3 linked regions of the Lonchura striata genome follow. The main gene of each other region encodes a partner of the protein of the gene in region 3 in a complex. Links are inferred from orthologs where the notes say so. Each region holds a gene or a part of one and is shown on either strand. Other genes may lie near its edges.

What was found.
Region 1: VDAC1 (region 3) and SPG7 share a complex: the UniProt entries of both Homo sapiens proteins name them as parts of the mitochondrial permeability transition pore complex. The link is inferred for Lonchura striata from reciprocal best matches to the Homo sapiens genes VDAC1 and SPG7.
Region 2: VDAC1 (region 3) and PPIF share a complex: the UniProt entries of both Homo sapiens proteins name them as parts of the mitochondrial permeability transition pore complex. The link is inferred for Lonchura striata from reciprocal best matches to the Homo sapiens genes VDAC1 and PPIF.

The regions. Positions count from the first base shown.
Region 1 is NC_134615.1:22,789,081-22,797,001, reverse strand, and holds the start of SPG7 (mitochondrial inner membrane m-AAA protease component paraplegin), read right to left. Parts: upstream 3,073-7,921; 5' UTR 2,968-3,072; coding exon 2,851-2,967; intron 1,489-2,850; coding exon 1,386-1,488; intron 916-1,385; coding exon 826-915; intron 1-825. UniProt on the Homo sapiens protein: Catalytic component of the m-AAA protease, a protease that plays a key role in proteostasis of inner mitochondrial membrane proteins, and which is essential for axonal and neuron development.
Region 2 is NC_134609.1:8,881,763-8,889,597, forward strand, and holds the start of PPIF (peptidyl-prolyl cis-trans isomerase F, mitochondrial), read right to left. Parts: upstream 3,034-7,835; 5' UTR 3,019-3,033; coding exon 2,830-3,018; intron 856-2,829; coding exon 825-855; intron 1-824. UniProt on the Homo sapiens protein: PPIase that catalyzes the cis-trans isomerization of proline imidic peptide bonds in oligopeptides and may therefore assist protein folding. Involved in regulation of the mitochondrial permeability transition pore (mPTP).
Region 3 is NC_134617.1:9,728,040-9,735,454, reverse strand, and holds the start of VDAC1 (non-selective voltage-gated ion channel VDAC1), read right to left. Parts: upstream 3,078-7,415; 5' UTR 2,969-3,077; intron 1-2,968. UniProt on the Homo sapiens protein: Non-selective voltage-gated ion channel that mediates the transport of anions and cations through the mitochondrion outer membrane and plasma membrane.

The sequences.
Region 1 (7,921 bases), on a different chromosome or scaffold from region 3:
CCAACCCAAGTCACCCAGGTTTTTAGGGAGATAAAACTCATTTTCAAATGTATTTTTACATGCTTGGGGCTTAGGAGAATAAGACATGGAAAACAGTATCTAGAAAGACTGATTTTAGAAAAAAAAAAAAAAAAACAAGAAAAATTAGCAACACAGCTGAGAGCTCTTTAAAGAATTTATACCTAAGTTCTGTGATTCACCAGAAGTAGGGACACATCCACACTGAAGATAAATGAAATATAAGCAAATAAACCCAAATCCAGCTTAAATGACTGGGTTTAGTTAATACAAATTTATTAAGTCAAAAAAAACAACAAAAAAAACCCAGGTAATTATTACTGTCCCTCTTCATAAAGGAGCAATGCCAAGCCAACCAGCAATGGGGAAATCTGCACAGGAAGCAAAGTGGCCCATGAAGAGTCACTTCCATGATCTTTCATCCCCTGATTAGATATTAGGGGAAAATCCTTCCCTGTGAGGGTGGCAGGCCTTGGCACAGGTGCCAGAGCAGCTGTGGCTGCCCTGGATCCCTGGCAGTGTCCAAGGCCAGGCTGGACAGGGCTTGGAGGGCGTCCCTGCCCATGGCAAGGGTGGGACTGGATGGGCTTTAAGGTCCTTCCAAGCCAAACCACTCCAGGATTTCAATAATCTGTCCTGTATCTTCCACTCCATCATCTAAACCAAAATGCTCCTTCCAACTTTCCCTTAGCCCCAGGCTTGTACAGGGGGAAATTGCAGGTACAGGGAAGCACAAAGGTGGATCTTCCTTCCTGCATGCCCTTCCCGGCGTTTCAGTAAATTCTGGAATTTCTGGCACACACATACCATCCTCCTCCTGTGGAGATTTCTTCTTGAATCCTCCATTCTTCTGGCTACTCCCCTGAGAGCTGGATGTAGCAAACCAGGAGGTGCTGCCTGCAGGCAAGCAGAGGTCAGAGACTGTTTTGATGGCACAAGGGAAATAATTTGGAGAAATTCCTTTAGTACTGAACCATGGACACAATTCCCAAGGCACAGCCACCGCTAACACTGGTGTGGGCAGTTAGGAACAGCCTCACACTTGGGATTGGAAATGCTCATTAGAGGAAATGTAGGTAATGGAATTAAAACAGGTTTCTCAGGAATACTGGGGGACACTCCAATAAAAGCCAAAAAGGCTACAAACACAAAATCTAACGACTCCAGCACTTCTTTAATCTCCTGAGCTCCTCATGGGAAGGTGCCACTGTTCATTCCTGTCCCCAAACACAACCCTGGATCCCTGCAAACACCCCAGCTCCCACATCCAGGAACAGAAGATCTTTGCTGCACTTTCAGGAATGCAGAGGGAAGGTCAATTCTCTTATGAAATCAAACCTTTTCCCTTCCTGCTCCTTGGGACTCACCCAGGAGATTCCAAAGTCTGACTGGATCTCGGATTATGTGCTGTTTTGTCAGGGCTCCGCCGAGACCTTGACGTGGTAGGGCAAGTGTTGGTGCCAGGAGGCTCTGAGGAAGGAGAGAAAGAAAAACAAGACAACAATTGGAAAAGCAGTGCGGCTGCTTGAGCTTTGTGTGTGCCTCCCTGAGACTCAGATTCCCGAGCAGGGAAATGCTGTGGGTGAGTGTCAGGACAGCAGCTGGGAGCCCTGGATGGGATTCCTGGTTGGGCATTTCCCACTTGATTTGGGAAATGTTTGTAACCCAGAACAAAGAAAGCATAAGTAGAAATAGACAACCCATGCTTGAAACACTTAATAGTTCATCCTTTTTCCTCTCCATGTCTGTGTTTTTGTTCTAAAGGCATATTGGAAATTAGTTCTTAAGAGTGTAGAAAGTTTTTTAACAAAAAAAAGACATTTTAAAGACTTTCAATCCTCCTGCATAGGAGCAAGGACAATGCAGCTCTGTCCCTGAGGTAACTCAGCAAGAATCCTACAGTGGATATTCAGACTTAAGTGCAATTTCACAACATCTAAACTAACATTTATGAACTGTCTCATGCAACACAAGTCTGGTCGCTTCTCCAGTGTGATTCCCTGTCTGCCCTCCACTGCACAGGCTCCAATTTCTAAACCAGCCAGGGACACTGACCAGGCTGAAACCCCTCACTCATTTTTCCTGGTTCTCCTCTTTTTTCCAGCCTGTGATGGCCTAAGATGGCAACCTCAGGATTGATGCTCTCTAGAACAGAGCAGCTTAAATTCAAACTGATCCCACAAAAACCCGGCATGAAACAAAGTCCCACATTGTTCTCCTTACACCACAGAAAAAGCCCTAAATCCAGAGAAGGCCACAAAGCTGATGGGAGAAACGGAGCACCTTTTGTACAAGGAAAGGCTTGGAGAATTGGGATTGTTCAGCCTGGAGAAGAGAAGCTTTGGGGTGACAAAACTGTGACCTTTTGAGTGCCCGAAGGGGCTCCAGGGGAGCTGGAGAGGGACTTTGGACAAGGGATGGAGGGACAGGACAAAGGGCAGTGGCTTCCGAGGGCAGAGCTGGATGGGACATTGGGAAGGAATTCCTCCCTGTGAGGGTGGCAGGCCCTGGCACAGGTGCCCAGAGCAGCTGTGGCTGCCCCTGGATCCCTGTGAGTGTCCAAGACCAGGCTGGACGGGGCTTGGAACAACCTGGGATAGTGGAAGGTGCCCCTGCCATGGCAGCGGACAAGAATAAAATCCCTTCCCACACAAATCATTCCATTATCTCCACGGCGTTCCCCAAGTCCGCGCCCAACAGCGCTGTCACGCCGGACCTTCGGCTCGGCACAGCGACAGGTCCCTCCCGAGCAGCCCGGACGCCTCTCTGCCCCGTTCTTCTCCTCCCCCGGCGCCCCCAGCGCTCGGTACGGCCCCGCCACCGCCCCGTTACCTGCAGGCCGCGAACGCCGCCGAGGGCACAGCCGCGGGGCCGGGCCCAGGCGGCGGCGGGCGGCCGCCAGAAGGCGCAGCGGCCGCGGAGAAGCCCCATCCGCAGCAGCAGCGCCATGTCCGCCGGTGCCGCTCCCGGGAGGCCTCAGAGGCCGCGGCAGCGGGACCAGCCCGGTCCGGGCCGCAGCGGCTCCGCCGTTACCAGCCCCGCGGCCTCGGCGCGGCCGGAAGCGCCCGCTGAGGCCCGGGCGGCCATCTTGGAAGCGGGGACGCGCGCCGCGCTGCCAGCCCTCAAGATGGCGGCGGCGCGCGGGGGCTGCCGGGAAGGGCCCCGCGGTACCGGGGGGCTCCGGTGCGGCCTGAGGGGACGGGAACGGCCTGAGGGGACGGCCCTCCCGCCGCTCCTGCGGCGGGCTCTGCGCTGCAGCCCAGCCCCCGCCTACGGCCGGCCCCGTCACGTCTCATAGAACAGACGGTTCCTCACCAGCCCCGGCCTTCTCCGGGCTCTCCAGCGTGCCCAGGGCCTTGGCCCGGACCCAAATGATTTGGGCAGAACAAACGGCTGGGAGGGGCGACGGGGTCTCTGCAAGGATAGCGGAGAGGCAGCAGCCAGCACTGAGGGGGCCTGAGCCTGGAGTCTGGTGGTGTGAGCACACAAGCGGCCAGGCTCTGGGATTTTATCCCTCCTAATCCCATGTAATTGTAATGCCTGGGAGAAGACGGAACAGCCTCTGCGGTCTTAGCTTCAGCAGAGAGGGAGGAGACCTGTGCAGCTGTTGCTGAGGAAGGTTCCCCTTCTGACAGCCCGAGGTAGGAGTGAGCTCTGGTAGGAAACAGCCTCTGTGTCTGCAATGGGAGTGAGGGACTGAAGTGCGTTCTGAGGGAAAGGGAGTGAGCAAATACATAGAAATTTATATTTACTTTGAGGGTGGCGAAGCCCTGGCACAGAAAGGCTGTGACTACCCCATCCCTGGCTTGTTAATGTCCCCTCACACCTGGAAATCTCTTTCCAGGCTGATTGGATCAAAAAGTTCGATTTACAGACACACAGATTGGTGCCAATTAATACATAAGGGCTGTTCAGAGGAGATGTGGCAGCTGGGGGCAGCTCCACCCACAGATCCCACGTGGAACGCCCAGGGAGGCTGCACTGACTCCCAGCTGGAAGATCCAGGCCTGGATGTGACCAAGCTGTGCTGAACTGGGAGTGCTGGTAATTTGCAGACACATCACAGAGCTGGTGTTGACACAGCTTCTGTCCCTTTTTTCACACTGCTTCAAAGGCAACCAGGTGACAGAGCACCAGGAAGGCTGGATAGAGAATCTGTGGCTGCCCCTGGATCCCTGGAAGTGCCCCAAACCAGGTTGGACAGGGCTGGGAACAACCTGGGATAGTGGAAGGTATCCCTGCCATGGCAGGGAGTGGAGCAGGATGGGTTTTAATGTGCCTTTCTACCCAAACCATTCCATGACGCCATGAAGGAGGGCTGGGGGTCTTTGCCTTGCTGGTGCCAATAGCAGGTGGTGCCAGGAGGGAAGAGTCACGAGGTTCTGCTCTGCATGGGCAGCTCAGGCTGTCCCCTCCAGCATGCAAGAGGTGACCTTGGGAAGGGTGGCTTCAGTCACTGCCCTTGGACTGGCAATATGCTCCTTTGGGAGTAAGCCAATATTCAGAGAGGACAGATATAACCTGATCCAGGCTTGGCCTTGCTGGGATGTGCTCCAGCCATGACATCACCCAGTAATGCCACGTCTATTTACTACTGGGGAAAGGTGCTGGATTGGAGGCTGAAATCCCTGCTTTATCTCCTGAGCAGGTTAGGAGCAGGAAGCAGCATTAGCAAACACATTTTTTCAGGCCAAGAGAAGTCAATTTCCATGGGAAACACAGCTCTGCTCTGTCTCAGAACTCACCTCTCCTGTTTCCATGTAAGACACTCCTCCCTCTGAGGCTCAGGAAGTTCCTCAGCCCCCCCAGCTTATCCCTGACTCATTTCCACACAGCACCTTGCCAGTGGGGTAAATGGATACCTGGAATCAGGTGGCCACTGTGCCATCCACAGACTTATCATCAATGAATCAAAGGATTACATGCAGAGCTGAAGCTGCTGGAAGGTAAATTCAGACCTTTTACAGGATGAAATGTCCCTCCAGCAGCTAAGCCAGGACTTTGCTCTGGCAGGACAAACCACCCAGCTCTGAGTGCCCCGAGTTTCCCGGCATCCCCCAGCACTGTGCATCTCTGTCATGCACCAGATGGGATTTTTTCGATTACTTCTTGGCAGATGACAAATCGAGGTCAAGGGATAGATGCTCCCCTTCAGCACAGCAAGGCCAAGAGCTCAGGAAAACCATAGGGTTTTCAGCAACAAAGGATGTGCCTAAAAGACCACATGGTTTTCCCTCAAGCACAGTAAAAGTCCTCACCAGGAAAGGGCTGCTCAGCCTTTTTCCATGAGCCAGGCCAAACCCATCACACCTATTCACTCCTCCAGGAACAGCATGGGATCACAGTGAGTTCCAGTTCCATGGCAGAGGACAGCATGGCACTGACACTGCTCCTCCCTGGGGCACAGAGCCTCCCCAGCCCCAGGGCGAGCCTGGGACGCAGCACTGGGGTACAAATCTATCTTCGGGTCACCTCTAAAGCCCCGTGAGTGTAAGACAGGCAGGTGACAGATGGCTGGAGGCAGGGGATCACGGGGACTCGGCCACCCCACAGCAGCCACCGCTCCGTCTGCCAGCCGGGGCTTAGAAACCACCGGAAAAGTGAACAGGGGGAAGAGGGAGCAACACTCAGAGTGGCAGGGCTAAGGGGCAGAGCAGGGGAGGGAAACGGCTGTTTGTGACTCAGAGCAGATGACTCTGCAGGAGTGCACTCCCCAGAGAGCTGCTGGAGTGAGCGGGGCTCAGAGGGGCCCTGGAATCCATCTGTGTGCGGGAGGTGGCCAAAGCCATCCCCAAAGCCCACAGACCAGAGGAGGTCACTAAGCTCCAGGGGAGCAACTGTCACTCCACACCCCTGAAATCCATAAGCAGCCTGGAAACCTAAAGCCTGTCATTAGAAATGATAAAAACAGTAATTAGAGCCAGGCTGTCATGAGTTCACACCTGGAACATCAATACAAGGCGTTTACCCAGCAGCAGGAGAGCACTTCCCCCAAATCCCTCCTCTGCGGATGCACCAGGAACAAAGCTCCACGGACCACTCTTCACACAGGCGTGAGTAAATCCTGTAGGGAGCCTTGCAAACAGACTTTATCCACCACTGCAGCAGCTCCCAGCTTTGAGGGATCCAAAAATTCTGCTGCTGTGGGGGCACAGGTGCTACATCAGCTTCTGAGCTGTGGGCTTTGCCTGCCCTGATCCCAGTCCTGGTGCTTCACTGGGACTCAGTTGGGTGCACAGTGGGCTGCACAAAGGAGTTAAACCTTCAAAACACACAGATTTCAGGGCAAACAAGCTGTGCCAAGGAGTTAGACCTTCAAAACTATGCAGACTTGAATATAAGAGAGCTGTTCCATGAACTTAACCTTAATTACATCTCATAAAGCTCTGAGCAGCCACCACACTATAAAGCAGGTGAAAAGCCACGCTTTTATTTCTTTATGGTATCAAGGTGGAACAGCTTAAGTTGGAGTGTCCTTAACAACAACAGCAGCAGAGAAATACAAGAATGGTTGAAAGTAGTTTTATTTAGTAAAACTTAGTCTGTACAGAGCCAGGGAGGTTCCTGCTGCAGTACAGCAGCTGTACTCCTCACTGCCTTCCCAAATGGCTGCTTGGTTTGCCAAACCCATTTCTCTTGAAAATGTTAATAGATGACGTTAATTAAAACATGAGCCAAGCTTAAAGGAAAGGTTTTCCTAATCAAAGCTCTTCTAAAATTTTATTCTCTTGGCCTCTGTGATGTTGGCACCTGACTGGTCACTCAGGGTTTACCAGCCATAAATCACACCTTGTTTCATCTATTAAAGACAGATTCCCATCCCTCCATCTTGTGAGGAGCTGAATCAGCAGGGAACTGCACAGTAGCACAGCCCAGGAATTTTTGACTTCAGGATTGTCATGATGGTTCTTTCCCTCACAACACAGCTGCTGAAGGATTGAGGTGAGTTTGGTCACCCACAGGTTGCTGGAGCAGGTGAGGAGCTGACACAGGTGCCATCTCCAGAGTGAGCCAGGGAGCAGTGCCAAAGCAAGGAGTGGAGGGTCAGGAGCTCTGTCCCCAAAGTCAGTGTCCTTCTAGCTCGCTGGGACAGACAGAAATAGGCCTGAAAGCACATTCCCCAAGTGGCCTAATTTCCCTGCCCTTACACAATGTTCTCTTTCCTCCTCAGCACCAGGGTATTTGTTTTATTTTAGGATTTAAGAGCTTACAACCTTTATCAAAGGACAAAGGTGCTCAACAATTGACTGTAATTTTTTTTTTTGTCCTGAGTATTGCAATTAAGGTGCAAAAGCCAGCCCAGGGTAACAAAGCCAGGCAGGTTAAACATCCCTATCACACAAGTCTCACCCAGAAAACCAGCAGAACAGCCCCCAAGGATATAGTCCTCCCATTCCTGCTGTCAGCTTTCCCTCCCTATGTACTTGAAAGTTCCTCCCTGAACCAGGCTGTTGTGTTCAAATAGAAAAAGGTCAGGGTGACACAGAAAGGGTTGAACTTCCTCCCCAGCACTGGATCTCTGACCTGGATGACATTCAAGGTTGTCAAGGAAGCAGTTACAGACAACTATATTTAGGAAATGAAAACATGTATTTCCCCTCTGCTCAGAGGCCAACACTCACCTGCAGCGTTTGCAGGGAGCTGTGGCAAGAAGCTTAGTGGAAAGGAAGCCAAAAAAACCTCAACCCCTTTCTTTTCACTGGTTTAGCAGGTCTTACAGAGGAAGAAGATGGGTAGAGATAAAAAGACTAAGCCTAAGTGGAACACAGGACCAGCTTAACAGGCTCAGAATAAACCTCTCTCCTGCTGTTATTTAACAGCAGAGCTGGACACGTGAGCCACTCTTTCCTGCTGAGCCCAGCACAGGGATTTCTCTTCCTGGGAGCCTGTGGCACCCCCAGCA
Region 2 (7,835 bases), on a different chromosome or scaffold from region 3:
AGTATTGCATTTTGTATCGGACGTGACAATACAAACACAACTAAATTAACCATATCCCAAGATTATACACTTCAAAAACTTGATTGCATCTTTAAAGTATTATCAATCTATTAGTTATTTCCATACTTTAACAAAACCCTGGTAATAAAGCCAAGAAAACAAAGCTTATTTGGCCTCAGAACAGGGTACAAACATAAGCCTTTTCCATCTCATCTCCCTTTTATTTTGCTGTGATTCCAATTCCCTAACTCCCTCCACCTTTGCCTGCAGTCACAGGTTTCATTTTCTGACTTTTATGCCTTTGTTCTTTATAGCAGTTATGAGGACTATGTCTTTTTAAGGATATTTGTCTACTAGGAACTAAAAAGTACAAGTTTTTTTCAGGACCCTTAAATAATCAGACAAGGAAGGAAACAAATGACAAACCACAAGAACTTTCCAAAATTAATTCACTAGTGACCAGTAAAATAAAACCCCACATACTCTTTGGAAACTCTAAGAAAGACCATCCCTTTAGTTTGCCCTTCCCCATTTGCTCTGGGGTTTGATCTTAATGCCAGCAAGTATGGTTTTAAACATCTTTATTCAGCACTGTTAACCCAATATATGAACTGTACTATCTTGGTGCAAACTGCAAAATGAAACTATCTGGAAAATTACAAATTCCATTTCCTCACTAATACTTCCTGTCATATTTCTCCATATAATAAATGGACATGGAACATGAAAAACAGTTGTAAAGGGTAAAATAACCTTCTCATTCCTGCAAATCGCAATATATAGCTTAACTAATTAAGTATGAAATTCTGAAGATGTTGCCTCACCTGCTGTCTTTGGGACCACATCAGCTTTCAGCTGTTAAAAATAGACAAATTAATAAGTCAGACTTTTCAAATGTACATAGAAACACATTTACACGGGAGATTGACATTTACATGGTACAACTGAAACCCCTTCCCAAAGTGGCGAGTTATGTGAAATCACAAAACATCAAAAACTTCATGAATACCTCAAAACTTTCCAAGCATTTGGCCAGCAATGAAAAATACCCCCTCAATGAAACTTTTAGCCACTTAATGAAGAGCCACTTGAGCAGTGTCTAATGATTTAATTGATCAATACATAATTGAGCAGTAACTAAGAAGAACCTTCACTATGGACCCCAAAGATCAGAGTTTGGATGCAACTAGAGAGACCAAAGTCCTCCTCCGCTCCCTGCACAGAACCAGAAGTTGAAAACGACAGAAAAGGCAAAGGAAACAGAAAAGCAGAAATTGAACATCAAAAACAATGTATGATGTTACATACATGTTTGCAACCAATGAAAACTTCTGATTTTGATTACTGTACATCTTATTACTAACCTTAAAAGGGACATAAAAGTGGCTGTACCAGCCACACCAAAGTTTTACATCCTGACAATGACCAGCAGCAGACACCTAGAAACAGCATGTCTGCAATAAGAACTTAATGTTCCTTCCCCAGGCTACTCTTCTCAGATGACTATAATTTGCAGCTGAAGATCACCACAACTTAACAAAAAAAATTCAAAATGATGCTGCAATTCATTCAGATTTTCTGAAAACTGGGCACACTAAAAAACTTGAACATAGACATTAAATGCTACCACAAGGAGTACAGGAACATTAATGCTATTTTTTATACCACCCAGATTTTCATTAATGAATAAGGAACTTGAAGAGTAATATTTTTACCTATGACTGCCTGAAACACTACCTCCTGAGAGCACAAGAGCTGGAACAGTCCAATTTATTCATATGCTAACACAATCAATAAATAAAAATATACTGGACTCTAGTCTCAAAGGAGCCTCTTTTAGAGAGCACTCCGATGAATAACGTTTTTTAAAAATTCTACAAATACAGACCCAAGGTGGGTGCTGGAGGCAGAAGGCCACACTGACTACCCTCAGCAGGCAGCGCTCCTGAGAGCTTCATTTGTTCTCCAGTGCGTGGTTCTGGAACACAGAACCTTTCCCATCCATCTGAGACACATGCCAGCCCTAAGGTCTCGTGTGCAGAACGTGGCACACAGTGCTCATGGCCCTTTTTTTTTTTATTTTAAGAAGGGGGATTACAGACGTTTTCCTCTTCAGGCCTTCTTTACACGGCCGAGCATTTCAGAGACAGGATCTGTAGGGATGGAGCCAGCTGGTACCCGGCTCTCGAGCTTGCTGCCTCGCTGCACGTGCAGCCCGAGGCTGGAGGAGGAGGCAGCGCCCCGGGAGACCGACACCCGCAGGATTCCAAGGAACCGCGCGAGGAGCGCCCAGCAAAACACAGGATGGAGCTGGAGGCGCGGCTGCCCCAGAGCAGCAGCCCCCGCGGGAAGTGAGGGACCCCCGTGCCGCTGGGACACTGCCCGCCCTTCTCAAGCCAGCGGTACACGACGGCAGTAAGTTCATTCCTGTTCAGTACTTCTGCTTACACACCGTGCAAGTGGCCTTCCCTCGAGGCTCCCAGCCACACCGGGGCCGTGCCCTGCCCCCGAGCCGTCCCGTGGGATGGCTTTAGGGACCGGCCGGGCGCTCAGCGAGAGCAGCGCGCTTCCAGCCCCAGTCCGAGCCCTACCAGCGCCTCTCGCCCCGGCAGAGGCGCCCCGAGGGCAGCCGGGCAGCGGCTCCGGCAGCCGGGCGAGCCCCGCCGTCCGCCGGGCCGCGGGTGCCCTCGCCGCGGCCCTGGAGCCGGCGCTGCCCGCCCTGACCTTGCCCGCTCGCCAGCCGCCGTGCCCGCGGCCGGGCCCTCTGCGCCCCGCAGCACCGTCCCGGGCCCCGCGCCGGGCGAGCCGCCGCAGCCCCCGCTGCCCTACCTCCAGCACGACGCGTCCCAGCGGCTGGTTGTCGGCGCCCACGTCCAAGTACACCACCGGGTTCGGCGAGCCGGCGCCGGCCCCGCTGCAGCCGCGGGTACCGGCCGCCCACATGCAGGCGAGCCCCGGCGGCGGCAGCAGGTCCCCGGGCGGGCGAAGCAGGCGGCGGGCGGCGCTCAGCGCCAGCATCGCCGCGGGCGGGCCGAGCGCGGAGCGGGCGGGCGGGCCGCAGGCACGGAAACGCGGGGACGCGCGCGGCCCGCGGCCTTTATGCGCTCCGCCGCAGCGCCCGCTGGCGGCGGCGGCGCAGGGCGACATGGCGGCTGGGGCGGCTCGGCGGGCTGAGGCGGGGCCCGGGCGGGGGGCGGTGAGCTGAGGCGGGGCCCGGGCGGGGGGCGGTGAGCTGAGGCGGGGCCCGGGCGGGGGGCGGTGAGCTGAGGCGGGCTCGGGCGGGGGGCGGTGAGCTGAGGCGGGCCCGGGCGGGGTTCGGTGAGCTGAGGCGGGCCCGGGCGGGGGGCGGTGAGCGGTGAGCTGAAGGCAGGGACGCGGGGCCCGGGCGGACCCTGCGGGCTGAGCGCGGGGAGCCGGCGGCCAGCGCCGAGGACGCCTCGTGCCCGCCCCGGCTGCCTCAGTGCCGCCCTCTCCGCCCACCATTGCGCAGCGGTTTAGGGGATGTGGGGGGGGCTCGTTTGTCCGTTTGCGTGTGGGGCTTTTTTGCACATTTCCTCACAGTGTCCTTACTCCAGAGACCAGCAGAGACTGGAGAGTTTCTAAAATTTCATCGTTCCACGCAATGACTGTGGAGAGCACCTTGGCGGGGAAGGCGGCGCAGCTGTGCCAGGTGCGGGATCATTGGGATCGCCGCACGCGGGAGGCCGGGCTGCCCGTCGCTCACCGCGGCTCCCGGGAGTCTCGGCGCTGACGCGGCTCGGAGCGGGCGGGTGTCCCTGAGTCACCCGCGCCGCAGCCCCGGCCGTGCCTCAGCATCCTCCGCAGCCCGCCCTGCGCTCCGGCCGCAAACCTGCCCGAGGGACTACAGAACAGAGTAACAGAAGTCCCGCTTTAATATAGGGAAATATCGTTCGTATTTTTTATGAGAATAACACATATAAATTTAAGGTTTCTTAATTTAGCAACTTAGATGAAAGTACTCAGTACATATGTCAGTCATATTTAGATATTACTTTGAATTCTCTAGTTTCCATCCTGATTCCAGGTATAAGTGCTTCCAAAAGTTCTTCAAATTCTTAAAGCCATAAGATGTCTAAAAAAAACAAAATCAAGCACGATTCTAATACTTTTCACATTTCTTCTATTACAGAATTATTCTAATGAAAGTTACAGTAATGCAACCAAGTAAACTTTCGATCCCACCTAAGTTCTTTGTGTCAAGCATCTAAAAGAGCCTTCATTGGTGACATTCACTGAATCAACAGAAAGCTATCAAGTCACTGCCATGACCACAAAGATCAAGGCAGAACTATAATGTGCAATTACAAACAATGGAGAAATCCTGCACGAACACTATTTTTCAGGCACACGCTCCAGAGAGACCCTTAACTGCTGATGCTGTAGGGATGACTATAGCAGGTACCACAGTCTGTAACTACAGACTCATATAAAGCTATGTCAAAAGATCCATCTTGTTCTGAGGGTCCAGAGAAATGCCTAAGGAGGAGTGAAAATGGGGGAGAGGGATGTATTATAGGCCAGTGTGCTTTCAACCTGCTACTGCTTTCACTCCCGAGGACTTCCCAAGCTGACTTTGGTAGTCATCTTTTTTTTTGTTGTTGTTCCTCCCATGTACTTATCCACTCACTGGACCAGTTTTAAATCAGCAGCTTCCTTGGTGATGAACTTCCACAGGCCTGCTTCCCAGAGCATCAAGAATCTGTTTGAATATTGCTCCAATTGCCTTCATCAATGTGCCTTACTTCTTGTGCTGGAGGAGACAAATTGTTCAGTATCTATCTTTGTCATACAGACCTACAGCTCTTCTCTCATTTCAAGACTGAGGAGTCACAGCCAACTCAGTGATTATTTATAACAAAGCTCTTCCATGTCTTTGGATCATCTTTATTATCCTTCTCTGAGCTGTTCCACTTTTACAGATTTTTGGGATAAGAGGCACTTTGCACAGTGTTCAAGATAAGGATGAATAATGACTTACTTTGTGCATACAGTGCCATGCTTGTATTTTCTATTTCTTTACCAATAACCTAAAGGTGATTTTTTTTTTTTTTAATAAGAGATAAATCAGCACTCCTACCTAGTTTGTCATATCTTCTTAGCTTCAAGTCCACTTTTGGTAAACTTTGACTTCTGTTAATCTAATCATCAATCAATTTTCTAATGATCATAAAAAAAACCCCTCACACTCCTTTTTAATATTGTTTTAATTGAAGTAGCAACTGGAAGCACAAATCAAAATTAGATGTTCTGTTTATACCTAAAATAATGGTCAGTTCTGGCCCTGAAGGATTTATTATTTAATAAACAAAAGATGAGCAAAAGAAAATACCATCTTGTTTCACACTTAGGAAACACAGTGAAACAGCTTTGAACTATTTTGTTCAGAAGAGTTCACAGACGTCTTTGGTAGAGCAAACAATGGAGTTTTCCTCATTTGCAGGCCTTGGTGAGAAGACAAAACAGCAGTGATTTTTGTATTTGAGAATATGGACTGAATTATTATCTCTAGGTTTATGCAATAGAGCTACTAAATCACTTGTTATGATCTACTCCTGCAGAGTCAGATGAATTACAACTCATGCAGACAGCTTGGCTAGGAACTTGTGAATTACAGAGGTCACTTTCCAAGAAGGACAGAAAAAGGTCTCCAAAAACTATCAAAGGCCACTATATCACTGCCAAATGAGGCTTAGAGCTAGCTCAGCAAACTGATTCCTTTTTAGGGGAGCTTTGAACACATCCATTTGTAGACTTGTTCATCGCCGAAACCGTGCAACATGTGGCAGGGAGATAAGTACAATGGAAAATGAGTGTACCCACACTAAACTAGTTAGGCAACAGAGCACAGGTGCAGACAAAAGTCAAAAGAGCTGCTTCAGCAGAGCTCTTGTGGATATGGGTGCCCGCCCTTAGAGATTTCATCATCCTCTCTCCCTTCCCCCAAAATTACATAGAAGTTAGAGATGGATAAACAAGGAGGGCCCTTTTGAAATTAGTTTCTAAATAGATAATTTTAAAAACCACTAAAGGACCCTTACGTTGTAGCAGAGAAATTTCTGCACAGAACGAACCTTAAATGATACAATAACATAATTTCATGCTGATATATTACAACTTGAAAGTCCTCATAAATGCTATTCAGTAACTGATTAAATATTGCCACCACTGTGCCAAGACAGCCAGGAAACAAGAGCAGTCAAGTGGCTCTTCCAAAGAAATAGGAGGACTAAGTGCTTGAAAGGTGACCTAAAATTTGGGAATTTTGATTTCAAGCTTCTTGAAATGGTGTTACCCAGCAGACAGACAGTGCACTGATAAAAAGGGGATATGCATTCCTGATTCTAACTGTCCCTCTGCATGCCTACTCGTGACACAGGAATGTGGGTTAATTGTTAATCTTGATGCTGTTGGCAGATGTGATAAGATTGCATTTTGCAATCTACCTACTGTACGAATGCAACTATATGGAACTCAGAATGGTCTGTGGCCCATTTTGATATGCTCTTCATGGGTCTGGACCATGCTTGGACCATGCAAATAAGAACTGAAATACAGGTTGCAGTAATCCACCATTAAGTGCATTGCACAAGAACATCACTTGATACTGTGATACAGTGAATTCCCAGGATACTGATTTTGACATTCATAAGAATGAATACACATATGGGACATGGTTATCTCAAGGACTCTGCTAATCAGGACTGCTAGAATAAGGAGAGGTCATACAGGTACTTAGCTTGATTTTAAGTGAGGAGAGCAGGAATTTGCAGTGGGCATTCCCACTCTGCACCTGCAGAGCCTGGATACATTGCACTTGAAAAGACTCAGCCTAGTATTTTCTTCAAGGTTTTGGCTGAGCTAGAAGATGAGTGAAGAGCTGGAAAGAACTCTGGGATTTGTGTCTGTGATATGCATTTATTTATGAATGGGGACTGGAATGGGGGAGATGGTGAAAGACCTTCATTACACTAAGTGATTGCAGTGTGAAATTAAACTATACAAGAGCTCAAAGGGCATAGACTGGCCACATAAGTAAACTTAGGGATAAAAAGAAAAAATGCTAATATTTCCCCTGATCCAGGTTTCCTCTTAGGAACTTGTAGTAACTCACTTCACTACGTGAGCATTCTCTTCAACACACATTGTACTTAAAGGAGCAGTTTCCCCACATGACTTCATTCTAATTACCTACAAATAGTCATACAAGGAAAGCCTCGATCCACTCATGCTCTTTACAGCTGTGATTAGCATTTTCATTTCAGAACTTCTGAGTGACATTGCTTGCCCGGAATTCATTACTCAATCTCCCTGCATAATGCATGGCAACCCGCTGCTGATGTGTCACAGTGCCTCCATGCAGTGCCCAGGGCCTGCAGCATCCCAGAGGTTTGTCTATACACTACAACAGCTGCCAACAGATAGATCACAACAGGCTGGCAAAGCACTTAGTACATTTAAAATGCCTGGTTTTAGGTTCCAGGAAAAATGCAGCTACTACTCCCAGTGGCCTCACAAATCTTCAGGACATCAATAGGTGGTTCATCTGTGGGTAGGGGAGATACTGCATACTTAAAAAACAGTATTAAGAGTTACAGGAGCCCTTCTACCTTTAAAACCACAGAAATTTCAATTGTAACACAACTTGACATTTCCAGGAATCAGTTCAGCTAATTTACCACCTCTGGTTCAAGGAAAAGTAATTAGGGAATAGTATCAGAAATATTTTGAGAATTGGTTAGTCATGATACTTTATGTTGCATAAGTAAGATGAGACTGGAGCTTTAACCAGCTGCCTGGTAAAGACTTGGATTTTC
Region 3 (7,415 bases):
CACATATTTATCAGGTCTATGATATTTACATGGGGAAAGGAACAATCTAAAAATTTAAGATAAGAATCAAGTCCATTATAAGAATGAAATTCCTATGAAGACAAGGGAAGTCTATCAGATTGAAAGCTAAGGAAGTAAAAGGTTGGATTTGTCCTTATGTAGCCACATTTTATTCCAAATAAATCTGAACTCATGTACCATTTCTTGATGGTACCAGTAGTTCTGAACATTCCAGCTCCCTGTCTCCAAAAGCATGAAAGTAGCATAGTACTTGCTACTTTTGCAAGTAGCAAAAGCTGCTACTTGCAAGGTGGACACATTACAGCTGCTAGGAACAGCTGGGAGGGACAGACAGCAACCAGATAGAGTCTGTCTGCATGGGGGAAAAAACCCACATGAGGGTCTTTTGCCTCAACGTTAAAAAGAATACTAATTTATTTTTCATTTATCTCCTTCAATAAAGGAAACATTATTCCTTGGAATGAAGCAGCTTTTAGGTGCCTTTCTGGGCCCCCAGCCTGGCAGTGTCATTTCCCAGCCAATGTCTGTTGTGGTGTCAATACACCTCAGAGGATGGGGCTTTGCTCTCAGAGCAGGGCCCAGCTCCCTCCACGTCTCATGGCTGCCTGGAGGAACCAGCTCCACTTGGCACCAGCGTCCCTCTACAACGTCCCAGGCTCCCAGAGGAGCTCATGCTGGCTCCACACATTGGGTTTTATGGTCCAGATCCCAAATCCCTTCAAGTCATGCCCACAGTCTGCTTCAGATCAGGTTCAGCAGCCTCGTTGTGCAGAGATTTAAGAGCACACTTACCCCTAAATACATGCGCAGTCACACAGAGGTCAAACATCAAGTTGGGCACATTCACAAGGCTTTTGAGAAGCCAGTAAAAGCACGTGGTTTGTAAATACTCGGCATTATTAAATACAATACTTAACAATACTTTTTGTCCCTACTTGCTACTATGCCAACACCATATAATCCATGCACCATTATGACTCAAAATTTAAGATTAGGAGTCCACAATTTCTTTTGTTGTAGGCTTTATAAGGCCATGCAGCATCCCTGTGACACTCACAGGATGCCAGCCCTCCTGCTGGAGTTTTGCTCTGGAGCTGCATGCATGAAGGTGCAGATTTAAAGATGGGTTTATGCAGTACCTCTGTAGCCCAATAAAGAGAGGAGCATAAAGGAAATAAACCCCTTAAAAGCAAATGTAAATATTATTATTTAGGCTATGCTAATTATGGAATTAAAGAAAGAGACAGCCAGCTCTTAATTGTATGGGTACACATTAGGATCTGCAGTGTTGTATGGCAACCCCTTATTAAACTATGACATGTAAGTATTGATTAACTTAGGGGGTGTTGCAGCTTGCTGTAGCTACTGTAGTTACTACACTGCAAGGGAAGAACACAGAACCACATCCCCACATGTTAAATTAACCTGTTTCTGTTAAATACCTGTGGAGGAGGAGAAGAACAGTGCTGCTGTCCCACCCCATGCCCCCAGCATGGCAGGGGCCAGGCCAGCGCATGCAGGAAGGGACATGTCCCTTGCTCCCAGCCCCACTGCAGGAACACCCAGCACCATATCAATGGGGATGAGTAATTAAAATGGAATTTTGTTTTCCAGCACAATGTGACAGCTCACACAGAAAAGGAGCATCTGCTACCAATGGTGGATGTGTTTTTCCCTACCTGCAGCAGATGCCAAGAAGAGCCTGAGCTGTGCATCCTGCTTCCATCCTGACAGTGCCAGGGCTGGGGACATTCTCCTGCTGCTACACCAGCCAACAGTGATGTCCCCCATACCTTCACACACCCATACACAAACCCCAAAATGCGGGCAGGAAGAAACGGTGGATCAGTGCAAACCTTTGATGGAGAGTGCTGGAGGGAGGCATTATTCTGGAATGTCATTGCAATAGTGCAAAAGCCTATTTCTGACAAAAATTCACAGGTGAAACATCATGAGAAAGGTGATTATTCAACCATCCACTGTACCCAACAAAACAAACTGCAACACACCTCTGTTCTCACTAAGGCATCTGAGAAACAAGCTGGGATCTGTTTCTGCTGGAATCACTATAAATATTCCCCAGAGATGCAACCCTGCATTGGTCACTGGTGATGAGTCAGCCCCACTCCATTTTCTGAAAAATTTGTTACCGTTTTTTATTATTTTGCAAATACCTAAAGACTGAATGAGTCAAAGACTTTTCCCCCCTCCAGCAAGAGTTGTTCCCAGCAAGGGCTGTGACAAGGCAGAATTGAGGCAGCTGCTGCTGTGGCCCCACAGTGCTCAGGAACAGAAAGCAGAAACATGGGGATTTTTAAACTAATATAATTCCCCACAAGTACAAACCTCTATTCTGAGAATAAGCAGAATGAAATGGAAGAATAAATCAGTTTGCCTGCTTGACTTGAGGTTTTGGTATATATCAGAACGAATTTGCCAACCCGCAAGAAGGATGCCGGGGGTGCAGAAGAGCGAGGTGAAAAGGATGCCAGAGCCAAGAAGGTGCTAAACGCGGGCAGGTACGGCCACCTTCGACCTTTGCTTCCCGGGAAGGAGCAGAACGATCCCGCACGCTGAAGCGCTCGTCAGGAGCCGCACGGCTGCCGTGGCCCTGTGACCCTTCTCCTCCCGGCACGGGGCAGCGCCCGGTTCGCTGAGCTCGGCCCCGCTGCGCCCGGCGGCATCCCGGGATGCGGCGCCGGGACCCCGCCGCGCCCCGCTCCCGCCGGCCGCGATGTCCCGGCCACCCGCGCCTCCCCAGCAGGCCCCCGTGTCGCAAGGCTCGGCATTACGTAAGGACACCGTTTTATCCCCGTTCCGCCGGGCCGCGGGTGGGCAAACCCGCCCGGGGCGCTGCGGGCTGCCCCCGCTCCCACGCGTGCCCCGGGCCCGCTCCCGCCGCCCGCATCGCCCCGCGGCCCGGGACCCCCTCCCGGGACAGCCCTACCTGCCCCCGCCGCGGCGGCAGCTGCGCTCCGCTCCGCCTCGGCCTCCTCCGGCGGCGGCTGCCCCTGCCCGGTGCCGCCCCGGGCTCTGCGACGGCGGCGGTGCGTGACGGCGGGCGGGACCGGCGGGCGGGACCGGCGGGCGGCGCGGCGCGGCGGGCGGGGCGGCCCGGGCTGCGGGGCCGCTCCCCGGGCGCCCGGCTGCGCCTCCCCGCACCGGCCCGCGGCTGCGGCATCCGCGGGATGCGCCAGCGCCAGCCCCGGCGCCACCCGGGGCATCTGCAGCCGCCTGGGTACCAGAATCCCGGGCTCTGCGGGAAACCAGACGAGGTGACTTTTAGAGGACCCTTCCCAGCCAAACCATACTGATTCGATGAAAGTCCCCATTTAGTCTGAATTGGATAAATTAAAATTGCCTAGATTTCAATTTAGAATTTAATTCTAACTCCCCGTCTTGTTAAAATTTCAATTCCCCGTATCCTGGTTGAGGCAAGAGTGGTGGGAAAGGAGGAAGGGAGGATTTGAAAGAGGATCTGTGAGCAGGTGAGGCTGTGTGTGATATCTGGTGAGTGTCCAAAGGAGCTGTCAGGGGGCCAGGGGCCAGCGAGGCAGCATGACTCCCCCCGTGGGGACTGGCTGTGGGGCGTGGAGAGGCTCTCATGAATTAGGGAGCTGACAGCTTTCCTAACTCTCCCTCAGATACACAAATCGGCCCTCACAGCTCACAGGGAAGCTGGACTGGGTCCAGAGCAACACTCTTCTGGTAACAAAACACTCAGGCAGGGAGTGATCTGCTATCAGAGGGAACAGAGGTGGAACTGGGCTACTTTCAAGATGAGATATCAACCCAGTCCTGCACTGTTGGAGGTCCCTGGGACACACAGAGCATCACCCACAAGACAAACAGGGGAATCATCTCAGCCAGGAAACTGCTGATGGTCACCCTTCTGCCCCCACCATGCAAGGGATATCTGTATCAAAAAAAGAATCATTGCTGAGAGTCTACATCCCACTCATGAGAACATTGTTTTGGTTTGGTTTTTAATTAGTTCTTTCCTGCTTTTTCTCCCTTGCACAGCGTCAATGGATGGCGAGAGTAGGAAGTTTCCCTGCTTGTGCTCTTAGCTGGCTCATACCTTTGCTTTCCCAACAGCATTTCTCTGAAAGGCACTGCTCCCACAGCCGTGGCAGGGCTGTACCCCATCATGTGCGTGGTGCCTGCTCTGGCACAGCCCAGCAGCAAGGTTGGACTCATGCAGCTGAGCACACACACAGCACTTGGGAACTTTGGTCAGGGTTCCAACTAAATAAACCCTGCAAGGAACTTAATGTTGAACTGAAGTATATAAAAAAATGAAGTGGCTTGTGGAATTCAGTGGTATCTCAGGAATGACAGGGTGGTAGAGGGGAAAGGATTGTGTGTGGCCACATATTGACCTTAGAAAGGCAGCTGAGGCAGCTAAGGCTGAAGGAATTGTGCTGGATACCAAATCCACATTAAAATAAAGTGTGCAGCCTACCACCAGGGTAGGAACCCACGGAAACAAGAGGCCTCTTTCAAATTTGGAAAGTTCTTCTAACCACAGTCATTTTGTTGATCCAGGCACCACTACGAGTGTGGGTGTTGTAACCAGAGCACTGAGTTGCAGTCAGGGTGAAGTGCCAGCTCTCAACACCCTCTCAGTTTTCTCTCTGGCAGAAGCTGGTACCTTCCCTCTTTTCCTGCATCCTGGGGCCTGTCAAAACCTGCTCTGGATTTCACTCACTGTCCCATGAAAAAATGTAGCCCAGCAAAAAACCAGTGGGCAGCTTTCTGCTGGGGTGCATTGAACCTCCTCCCCCAGGAGTCAGAGGAGCAAGGGAAGTGAGGAGGCTGCTGGTGCAGAGGCAGGACCCTGGAGGGGAGGAGGGGCACAGGACATTCCCCAACATCCCTTTGACCAGGTCACAAGGGTGCACTTTCACCCTGAGCAGCAGCTCCTCAACCTGCCCCTGCCAAAGTGCAGCCTCAGCTCTTTGCCCTCTGCAAAGGTAAATCTGATAGCAATGAGGGTGATTTTTAGAGCACTATCTCCCAGCCTTGCTCCCTCCCCATGCATCAACCTCCTGCTGCCCCACATGATCAAATATATTATTTTATTACCTCTGGGCATCAATAAGTATTTTATTACTTGTAAACATGCAGAGATTGCAGCCTGTTCCCTACAGATTTTCTCTGAGCAGCCAGACCATGAAGAAACCAGCCCAGCCCCTGCCCTGCACTGAGCCCTCCCAGCCCCACAGGCACGCACAGGGTTTTTGGGAGCTCCTTGGAGTATCATTGGCCGAGATTAATTTTCACAGGCTGCCTCTGCAGTAGAGGCTGAGTGCACAGAATCACAGTCATGGGATGATTTAGATTGGAAACGCCTTGAAGATCATCAAGTCCAACTGTTAACCCAGCACTGCAAAGTCCACCACTAAACCTTGTCCCTAAATGTCATGTCTACACAATTTTAAATCCCTCCAGGGGCTGATGCTGCAAGTGGGTTAAGAATGAGCAGAGGGACAAAGTGTTTCGTATCTGTGAGAGATAATTTTTCTTTAATTTCCAGAACACACATCTACCAAAAGATGGCAGCAAATCTCCTCATATGGAGTTGAGCATCAGTGCTGTCTGCTCTCTTGGGCTCTATTTTTCCTACAGGTTAAAAACTGTAGATTATCCTGGGGAGTGCCAGAAGAACAGGAGAATCACACTAAATGTTCTTAATGGAGAAAATCTGTGCTTGTGACTTCAGTTTAAATTTTACAAATTCCTTCTACAGTATAAGAAATCTCCTAAATGCTCTATGTGTCAGTTCCTTCTTTTATCTTGGCAGTTCTTAGTTTTTAGTAATGCTACAGCTTAATTTATTTTAACAGGTGAAAATAGAACAGAGTGCATCATAATAGATTTGACTAACAATAATTCCACAAATCATTCACATACAGGATCTGTCTAAATGTTCTTTTTCCATCACAGGCTTTAGGTCTTGAGAACTCAGAGCAGCTTGTTTAACACCAGTTTGCTGGAGAAATCTCCAATTGCCCCATCTTTCATTATATAAATCTGCATGTCAGTGGAAGATTATTTTTAAGCTCTGTTCTGCATCACTAATGGATATAGACATAACCCTGGTTCTGATACTATTCATACCAAATTAGCTGGGAATAGATCAAAGTTAGTAGAGTCATTGCAGGTACCAAACTGTGGGCTGCACTCAGCTCTGGTGACAGTCCTGGGGCTGGGCTTGCAGGAGCTGTGCCCTGTGCTCCCTGACAGGGCACATCTTTACAAAGCAAACCACAAAACAAGTGTTTTATTCAGGAGTTAGTGTTGGGAAGCATGGAAGAATCAGCCCTTTTGCATTTCCAAGTATGCTACTGATTCAATTTCTTCATAAAATGGGACCAGTAAATACTATTTTCAATAATCACTTTTACATAGCCAAATTGTTCAAAACTGTCATTTCCTCCAAAAATAACTTACCTGCCTAAAATAAAGCTGTGAGGAAAAAAAAAAAAAAATGCAGCTTGTGAATTCTACATGAACAGCTAAGTCTAATTCAACTGCAATTTCATTCACATCACATAACATGTTTGAACAGCAGAAAAACTCACTAGCCAGAGATCCAAGATGTATTTGTTCAATAAAGTTTGATTTGGCTCTCTTTCATAACAAAAACATTTTCAGCTTGTTAACCTGCAAGGAATCCATTCATCATCAGTCAAGAACATGCTGATGGAATCATAAAATAAGCAAGGATGCCTCGCTGCTGGGTATCACACTATGTAAACATATCTTCATGCCCTTACACTGATAAACTCAAGCCAGGCTGTGTTGCTCAGAGCCAAGCCCTCACTGCCTGCTGTGCTCATGTCAGACAGGTTGTTTCCACTGCAGAAAACCCTGAACTGGGAATGCCTACACAGCTCCACAGAGCATCTCTGTGCCAGAATAAACATTTTTACCCAGGCCAGTGTAAGTGGGCTGCTGCTGGTCTCTGCAAATGAGCACTAGCATCTATTTACCACCTCCAGCACAGCCCTCTCAGACCCACCCAATGTCACTGCTCCCTCCTTCCCCGTTCTCTCAAGGTGACACAAATATCTTCAAAACTCTTTAAAATAGTTGTGTAGTTTTAACTGATTGTTTTCACAAAACACAGTACGGACCAACTAATCATGCAAGTTATCCTTGAGGATCCACAACCTCTGGGCCAAGCAGCCAGGAGTGGCCATGGCAGCCAGCCCAGCTGCAGCCAGGACAGGCTGAAGCTGCTGCAGCTGCACCAGGGCAAGGATGAGCTGGTTCAACACGTGAGCTCAGGTCAGAAGGGTCCTTGATTGTCCCTGTTCCCATTTGTCCACTCTACCACCTGCCTGGAGTTTCCAGGCATTGTTCAGCTACTTAATCAAGATGTAGTT